Linked DNA regions of Oryctolagus cuniculus. The protein of the gene in region 2 purifies or fractionates together with the protein of the main gene of each other region. This does not show direct contact. Links are inferred from orthologs where the notes say so. Each region holds a gene or a part of one and is shown on either strand. Other genes may lie near its edges.

What was found. The genes of interacting proteins can lie anywhere in the genome.
Region 1: the proteins of USP47 (region 2) and FBXW11 purify together in Homo sapiens (affinity purification with mass spectrometry; 10 studies listed by BioGRID and IntAct, counting the BioPlex papers as one, with this or other methods). This does not show direct contact. The link is inferred for Oryctolagus cuniculus from reciprocal best matches to the Homo sapiens genes USP47 and FBXW11.

Annotation. Positions count from the first base shown.
Region 1 is NC_091437.1:58,565,410-58,569,626, forward strand, and holds part of FBXW11 (F-box/WD repeat-containing protein 11), read right to left. Parts: intron 3,207-4,217; coding exon 3,128-3,206; intron 2,124-3,127; coding exon 1,962-2,123; 3' UTR 1,937-1,961; intron 1-1,936.
Region 2 is NC_091432.1:54,376,924-54,381,923, forward strand, and holds the start of USP47 (ubiquitin carboxyl-terminal hydrolase 47), read right to left. Parts: upstream 3,088-5,000; 5' UTR 2,879-3,087; coding exon of another isoform or gene 2,840-2,878; intron 1-2,839. UniProt on the Homo sapiens protein: Ubiquitin-specific protease that specifically deubiquitinates monoubiquitinated DNA polymerase beta (POLB), stabilizing POLB thereby playing a role in base-excision repair (BER). Acts as a regulator of cell growth and genome integrity.

The DNA of each region.
Region 1 (4,217 bases), on a different chromosome or scaffold from region 2:
ACACCACACACAAAACTGAACTCTAAATGTATCAAAGATCTAAATGTAAAAGCTAAAAATCTATAATTTCTAAACCCATACTGGTCCAAACACGGAGTCAGTAAGCCACATGTGGCCTTTTAAATTTAAGTTTAACTAAAATATTACTGGGTAAAGCCACTGCCTGTGACACTGCCATCCCATATGGGCGCTGTTTCAAGGCTTGGCTGCTCCATTTCCGATCCAGCTCTCTGCTATGGCCTAGGAAAGCAGCAGAAGGTGGCCCAGTGCCTGGCCCCTGCCAGGAGATCCAAAAAACACAGAAGAAGCTCCTGGCTTTGGCCTGGCCCAACACTGCCCATTATAGACATTTGGGGAGTGAACAAGTGGATTGAAGATTTTTTTCTGTCTCCTCCTCTCTCTCTGTAACTCTGCCCCTCAAATAAATAAAAATAAACCTTTTAAAAATAAATAAATATTATTAAGTCCAATTACAAACTCAGCTCCTTTAGCATACTGCTCACATTTTAGGAGCTCATATAGGGCTAATGATTCCTACAGTGGACAGTGTAGCTCTAGAAAATGCTAACTAACCTAGTACTAGAAAGCAAGCCAGTGCTTGCCAAGGCTGGGGTCAGGGAAGGTTTTGACTACAGAGAGATTTAAATGTAATGGAAAATGCTTTGATTATGAAGGTAGCTATAAGGGTATATACATTTAAGGGACACATTCTTTGTGTGGCCCAAATACATTGCAATGGCACCAGGTGCTACTGGCCCAAAATTCATCAATGATTGCTTCTAATATACTGTGCACTGTACCAGACACTGGTGTTCGTAACAAAGGAACTGCAGTGGCGGGGGGGGGGGGGGGGGGGGAGGACACCAGGCAGTAAGTTAAATTTGGCCCCATGACTGTAATGTGTTGACTCCTGGGTACAACAAACTTCCTAGAGGATACCTATTGTCTGGGTTTTGGAATCTTGATTAAGGAATGGCTGAAAAGACAGGATATTGAGGAGTAAGGTATCAGGGGCTCCAAATCTTTATCAAAATAATTTCAAAATTCTGTACATTTCTTTTTCCTTTTAACATTCAATAAGCAAGAAAGTATATAATGATAAAAGCCATTAAAATGAAGTAATGTTTTAAATAAACATGAATTTTATTAATCACAACAGTCTCTATATATGTATATTTATAGTAGTACAAATAGGTGCAATTGTATTGATTAAATCAACAAAGTTCGGAGAGCACAGATTCACTGGCCCCTGCAAAGTTCCCAGGGTTGGGAATATTGTCCAGATTGTCATCAGTTCCTAGGACATAGGCAAGTGAGACTTCACACATCTTCCAGATTGAACATCTTTAGTAAACAAAACATTCTATCATCAATGGTTATAATGAGTTTAAGTCTTCCTGTAACCACAGTGAAGGACTCAGGGTACCTGTTGTATCTCATGGATAAAGAATGGGGTTTAGAGGCTCTCTTAACAAAAACCTTCTTTGATTCACACATAAGGAAGGGAGGTAGTGAGAACTGTGGTGGGGGGAGGAGAGTGACTTTGAATATTTGGTTAATTATGTAGTTGGTTTTTTCTTTTATATCTTTAATCAAAGATGGAACTGAAAAACAGGAAAGAAAGTGGAAAAGGAGCTTCCAAAATAAAACTCAGAGACTTCACTGGTGCTAAATTGATATGATCTGAGAAATAAGTTAGAAAACAGTATTTTAAAAAGGAATTACATTCCTCATCTGTCGACATAAAAATCCCACAACACACAAGATCCCAAATTCAGCCTTGTTTGTACGTGACTACAAAGATCTGGTCTTACAAAAGAACTCAGTGAATGCTGACACATCTAATAGAGACCTGGGGTCTCATCACTGAGGAATCCAAGTCTCAAAGAACTTTCCAAGGGAAGAGGAATTCAATCAGCGCAGGGTTAATGCTCACCAGAAGCGGGTGAAAGTGCAGACTGTTATCTGGAGATGTATGTGTATGTTCTGGAGGGAGAACGGGTCTCATTCTGGGCACTGGGAGGCACATTTAAGAAATCCCAAATCAAAATAGTGTCATCATGGGAGCTGCTGATGATCTGAAATTCATCAAACTGTAGCCGAAACACACGTCCAGAATGTTCCTAGGAAATATAACAGCTTCATGAACAAAACGACACCTTTACAACCTCTCATCTCTCCCAGCGAGAGATTCAGCCCAAGTTGGAAACACAACTACTTATCCAGACTTCCCAAATAATTTTCCAGAACTCACTGAGCTTTGTCCTTCAACCCAAGAACAAATACTTTGCTTTTCCTTCTACTTTTTCTCTTTCATTAAACTTTGTATCATGGATCCTGGACCATTTATATGTCAAAGAAGAAAAATGATGTGATCACCTCATAAAGGTCTTAGAAAGATAAACAATATTTAACATTAATTTGTGGTATACTGTAAAAACCAGAACCAGAACCAGAGGACAGGTGGCTGTTTCTTTAACATGGCTAAGAATATCTACCTCTAACCACAATAGCACAATTCATGGTGAAACATCAGATTTATTCCAGTTAAAATCAAGAGGAAAACAAGAATGGCCCTAACTATAACACTGCATGTTCTAGATGCAATGCAAGAGGCTAGAACTAGAAAAAAAATGGTAACATCACTAAGAAAAATAAGAAAAACCTACCAGTATTTTCAAATGCTATCTCCTCAAAAATACAAGAGAACCAACCAGATTATTAAAACGACATTGGTAAAGTTGCAAAAACAAGATTAACACATGAAGATGCCATAAACTACATATGTGCATAAAGCACAGATTGATGGAACATGCTACCATTATAATACAAATATGTGCTGTTATAGAGACACTAACAGCCACATTAAGAGCTCTCCCAAACCTCCAGGAAAGATAATATACTGCGTGTTCTAGGAGGAATCCAGTCTCCCTATAAGAAAGCCTGCCCTGTTACTCCTTCAGAAAGAGCCCACAGTGATGTAAATGTCAAACCCTCTCTGATTTTGGCTAAACTTTAAAGCCAGTGGTGAGATCCACAGGCCTCCTTGTGGGTCACAGGAAGGGCTATGTGCACACGGCCATCTTTCAGCAAAGGGAATCAGCTTCTCTTTCAACAGATCACATACCACCAATGTGCGCAAACACAGGGTGCTTGCTGGGGCCCGAGGGTCAAGAGCAGCTTGCAAGTCCCAAACTTTAATTTTCCTACAAAGGAAAATGACAGAGATTAGTACAAAAACTAACATTTTATATATTGCTAAGCATTTCCTTGACAAAAAGAAGCACATTTGAACTGCCTATTATCAAGCTAATGGGCAACATGCTTACGTTTTACAAGTTACTTGAAACAATTCCAGTATTGCAGAAAACATTGAGGATCTAAACATTCTTAGCATTGCTGAAATCTGGAAGAACTACTATTTTAAGTGAGACAAGAAAACTTCAGTTTATCTCAGTTCAGTTCCTGACTGGATAATCCACACTGCCAAATTCATTAACCAGGGGGCCCCTGGAGTAGATAAGGTGCTGCTGACAGAAGCTACAGTTCTGTGTGAAATTCCCACGTACCCTTCTCCAAACTGAGCAAATGCTGCTAGTTAGCAACAGGAGTATAACCAGACCAACTAACCCATTTCCAAGATTTGTATAAGCTTGTCTTAAAAGGGCTGCAGTTGCCATTTGCTCATTCAAAAAGTCATGAGTTGGGGGTTGGCATTGTGGTAAAGCCATCACCTGTGACGCCAGCATCCCATATGGCTGCCAGTTTGATTCCCAGCTGCTCCACTTCCAATCTAGCTCCCTGTGAATGCATCTGGGAAAGCAGCACAAGATGCCCAAAGGCTTCATGTGGCTACATCTTCTGCCACTCATGTCAGAGATGTAGAAGAAACTCTGGGATCTTGGCTTTGGCTTGGCCCAGTCCAGGCCATTGTGGCCATTTGGGGAGTGAACCAGTGGATGGAAGATCTCTTTCTGCCTTTCCCTCTCTCTCTCTGTATAACTCTGCCTTTCAAATAAATAAATAAACCTTAAAAGTCCTGAGGTGTTTTAAAGAGGATTTGTTCTAGGATCGGTGTTGTTGCATAGCAGGTAACAGTGGCAGCATTCCATATGTATGCCAGTTCAAAACCCAGCTATTCCACTTCCAATCCAGCTCCCTGTTAATGTGCCTGGGAAAGCAGCAGTAGATGACCCAAGTGCTTGGGCCCCACACCC
Region 2 (5,000 bases):
TCAGAGGTTATTGACGTAAGAACCTCCCCCTGCAAAAAACACCCCTCAATACTGTTGATGAAAAGCAATTAAATCAGATGCAATAAATTTTTAAATTTAAATTTTTAATTCTGCAATTTATTTCACACACTGTATGTACCCAGGAAGTTAAAAACTATTCTTATAGCGCCTCTACATTACATGGAAGCATCTGTAAAACACAGTAGAACTGAGGAACAGGATCAAGGGATGGGAGTTCTAGTCTTAGCCCTGCCCTTTTCTCCTCATGTGTTCCCTAACAAGTCACTTTCAATCCTCTAGCAAAAGCCCCTCAAATGTAGAGTTAAGAGGCTTAATTACTAGCGGATCACTATGCTCTCTATTAGCTTTAGCGCTGGAAGATTCCACTACTACGTAAAAGCACCAGTCAGGGAACATCAAAGATCAACCAAAAGTGATAATTAAGAATACATACACACAGAAAAGAAAGGCTCTGACTAAACAAGGGTAGGCATACACTCCAAGCAGGTAGGAAAATGGGCAGAAACATGCAGTATTATCAAAATCCAGGAACGGCTTGCTTATTTATTTTTTTTTGGGGGGGGGAGAAAGAGAGAGAGGAGAGAGCGTGAGCTCCTATCAGCTGGTTCACCCCACAATGCCTGGGACGAATGGGATTTGGCCATGCCAAAACTGGGTTTCCCCTGTGAGAGTAAGGAACCCAATTACTTAATCCCATTACTGCTGCCTCCCAGGGTCTGGAGAAGTTGGACTTAAGAAGAAACTAGAGTCAGGAGCTAGAGATGCCTATGGAAACCAAGTACTTCAACATGGGATGTGAGCATCTTAACCACCAGGCTAAATGTACACCTCTAGGATTTTTTTTAAGTATCATATTCTACAAAAATAATTGAAGAAAGAGAAGGAAAAAAAAAAAACAATGAATTTGGTCATTTAAGAGATCACTGGTGACCTTCAGGAACATATTTTCAGGATTCCAGAAGCAAATATGGAAGTGGAGGCAATCAGCTGGACAAAGAATGAGTAGGGCCATTAAAAGAAAGAAAAACCAGTCAGCTAAAAAAGGCAATGGCCTCAAGATTTGACAGTACTGTGTACGCGTCTAGAAATTATGAAAGAAACGGAGACTAAGGAATAGAAAATAAAGGCATATGGTCTACCAAAAGTAGAAAGGAAAACAAAAAGTTGTGATGAGCTTGAAGCATCAAAGAAGGGAAATGAAAGAGAAACATTCAATCTTTAAACTTCCAAGAGATAATGGCAGCATTGAAATATCAGTTTTGCACAACAGATATATTCCTGGACGCTATTTATCTATATCACATTTTCTATGAATTACTAGGGGAATAAATTATAAATTATAAATAAAATAAATTATTAGGAAAACAAATCTAATGGTGTGTTTTCTTATAGTGAAGTCCCACCTATACTGTAGTTTCTAATGGAAAAAAAATAAGTATTAAACTCTGTTTTTAAAGAATGAAAAACACCAATATACAGCTCCAAGAGGAAAATGTTTATACTTTTCTTATACAACTATCACTTCCTTGCATAAGAATTACTTATGCAGTATAATGTACCAAGCTCCTAATCAGAGTGCAAAGAATTCCAGTGTTCCCTCTCTGAGCTCAGCAAACTACCAAGGCAAGAATTCTGATCAATTCATCTGTTTAGCTGCTTTGCAGAGTTGGTGATGCTGGGAGAAAAAAATACTGACATCCTTGCAAAACAGCTATCACTGTCCACCTGGTCAGGCTGGGAACATATTTGTTTCATTCGAGTAGGTAACTCCAATGATACCACTTTTACAGAGTGTCAGAGCTTGCTGAAGTATCAACAAGTTGTTAGAAAACAACTTTTACAAGGCAAAAACATTTAAGAATTGTAACGATCACTCATAAATATATCAAGACCCTCCAGAGCTAATTTCAACCCAACACTTGCCTATTTAAGGTATATGAGAAATAAAAATCCAAAGCATTAGCCTGATGATCAGCCTGTTAAAAATACACATTTGAATGCGCTTAAGATATTTATAAAGCCAAGAGAGATACTATTAATATATTGAAACTCACTGGCCAGTGCTGGATGGAGTCTACTCTTAATCTCCTACTACTATTCAAGACAAGCCAAGAAGTCAAGGCTTCTCATGTCGCTTGCTTTTAAGAATTTAAGAAGCCACCCCAATCGGCACACACAACCCAGCCACCAACACACAGTGCAGCTCCCCATATGGCAGCGCTCGGCTGTCCCCTACCAGCAAAGGAAAGTGCCACTGACTACTTTGCCCCGACCTTTGGTAGGCCCCGGTTAGGCAGGCCCATAGTACTACGAAGTAACAGGAGTTGAGAAAAGTCGTAACAGTTAACTCTGCCCTCCCACAGATCTCAACTAGGGTGTAGCTTTCACCAGCCTTGAAAGCCATCCCCGGCCACTGTCAAAACCAGAAGCAGCACCGTCACCCTGTAGTGCCACCCGCAACTGTTCCAGGGTTTCTTTGACATGATCCCTCTCCGTCTCGGCTCCACGCATTAGATAAGGGCTAAAGCCCCGCTGGCCCCCCAAACCAGGACCTGGCCCCTGCCCGTTCGCTCCTTTATTTGTTCAGCCCAGCAAACCCGAGGCGGGGTGGTGGTGGGGGGAGGTCTCCGCTGCCGGCCCCTGCATCCCGCGGGTCTCCCAACTGCTCGCCGCCCCCACCCCACGCCCCCGACCGCCGCCGCCGCACACCGCCTCCTTCCCCACAGCCCGGCCCGCATCCAGCCGGCCCCGCGCCCGGGCCTGCGCTGCTTCGAGCGGCCGCAGGCCTCGGGCCTAGCCTCCTCCGCTGGCCCCTCACCTCTTTCGGGACCAACTGGTTCTCCTCGCCGGGCACCATCGCTCAGACTCCGGGCCGCTCCTCTCCGCCCTGCCGGGGGAGGGGGGAGGATGGCGGCGGCTCTGTCTCAGGAGAGAACGGCAGCGGCGGTCATCGTCTCCGCCGCCTGCGCTCCGGCGATCGCGGAGGCCTCAGCCTGGGCCTCAGACACCAGCGCGCAGACACCTACCCAGGGCTCCGCCGCCGCCGCCGCCGCCGCCTTCGTCGTCGGCCCCTCCCCCAGCCCGCTGCAATCAATGGAAAAATGGCGGCGACCGCTCTCGCGAGAATTCGGCCCGTGGGGCTGCGAGCGCCGAGCCCGGCGCTTAGGGCGTCCGGGTGGTTGTCGCTCGCACACTTTTAATCACCTGGGTGTCTACTCTGCCCCGGGATGTACAGAATGGTCGAGGAGCCCTGCAAACGCCTTTCGTTAGAGAAAAGAAGGACCTTGCATCTCAAGGCTCCCTCTGTCGGCAGGGAAAAGGCCAGGCCCCAGCGTCTCCATGCCCCGCTCTCCCGAGTGCCTGCGCATCAGGAAGCGGCGCCAGCAGAAAGGCCCTTGGCTGGCCCCGCCGTCCATACGCTTCTTTCCAGTCAGTCCAGCTTCCGAACGTCCTGTCCTCTTCAAACACCCCAGCCTCTTGCTGGAGGAGAGAGCACCGTGGGATCCCGCCCGGCCTCCGCCCTCGGGCAGGGCTGTGGCCCGTCCAGTCAGAAGGGCCAGCGTAGTATTTACCCTCCTCCCCACCTTCCTCACGATCCCGCCGGGAGGGACCTCGGGGCCCATCTTCCACTGGGAGAGGCAACACTCCTCGCCCCAGTGAAGTGGCGGCATCCCCGGCCGCGTCCCCCAGCTCCATCCCCGCCCCCTTCCAGGGAGCGTCCTTCTCCAACGGGGCCAGGTTCCTGCGATGGACGGACGTTCTGCTTTGAAAATGAGCGAACTTTAATCTCCTGTAGCTACAGAGAGCGTTGTGCTACGTGTTAGGTTAAGCAGATTTCGCAACAGTCGTTTTTCCAAACGTTAGTGCTTCCATTACGAAGGCAATGATGGATGCAGGATTGTCAGAGCGCGCTGGGCGAACGCAATCCTGCCGGATTCCCAACACCCACAGCGTCAGCCACCTGCACCTGGGATCTCCAGACTTCTTTTAGACCTTCGCCTCTGTTACAAAGGCAGAAAAAGGTATCCACCTGTTGACCTCAGCTGTGCACTCCTGCTGTGTGCAGCACTTTGTAAAATGTAAACGGGTAAGGTAAAGATGAAACAAACATTTAAAAAACTGAGTTTATTATATTAAGGGCATAAACATTTCTGTTGCTCCCGCTAAAGAATATTTAGCCAAGTATGATTGGTTTGGATTAGTTTTTTAAAATTTTTAATACTTTGTAAAGCAGTTATTAAAATACTCGATTCCACACACGGTTCAGGTTATTTCTGGACTTGGTGTTCACAGGCTGCCATTAGCTGAGAAAAGTAACTGTCGAAGATGTAGATACTGATGGAAGAAGTACATCTTTAGCTGCTCTTAGCAACCCAACACCCATTTTTAAAAATCAGTTCCAGCCACAAACCCTGCAAAGGTTTTTGTTGAAATTCCAGTAAGTTTCCATCTTCCCTGATAACAATCAGAAGATGTGGCATTTTTATTCCTTTAGCAAGTGGGTTCAAAATGCTGTAGAGTAAATTTCTTGGAAGATTTTTTTAATAGGTTGAATAATTCTGACTTCAAGTTTGAGTGTACATGTACCATGTTGAAGTTTCTTTGGGAGCACTAGTCTTTATTTAAAATTGTGATATTACTTAAGGATTTTTAAAAGTAACTTTGACTTTTCAAAATATTATCTTTTTAAAAGGTTTATCAGGGGCTGATGCTGTGACATAGAAGGTTAAACTTCCACCTGCAGGGAGGGCATTCCATGTGAGATCCTGTTTGAATCCTGGCTGTTCCACTTCCAATCCAGCTCCCTGCTGATGTGCCTGGGAAAGCAGGGGAAGCTGGCCCAAGGGCTTGGGCCCCTGCACACATGTGGGAGACCTGGAAAAACTTCCTGGCTCCTGGCTTTGGCCTGGCCCAACCCTGACAGTTGGCGGCCATCTGGAAAGTGAACCAGCAGATGGAAAATTCTTTCTGTCTCTCCC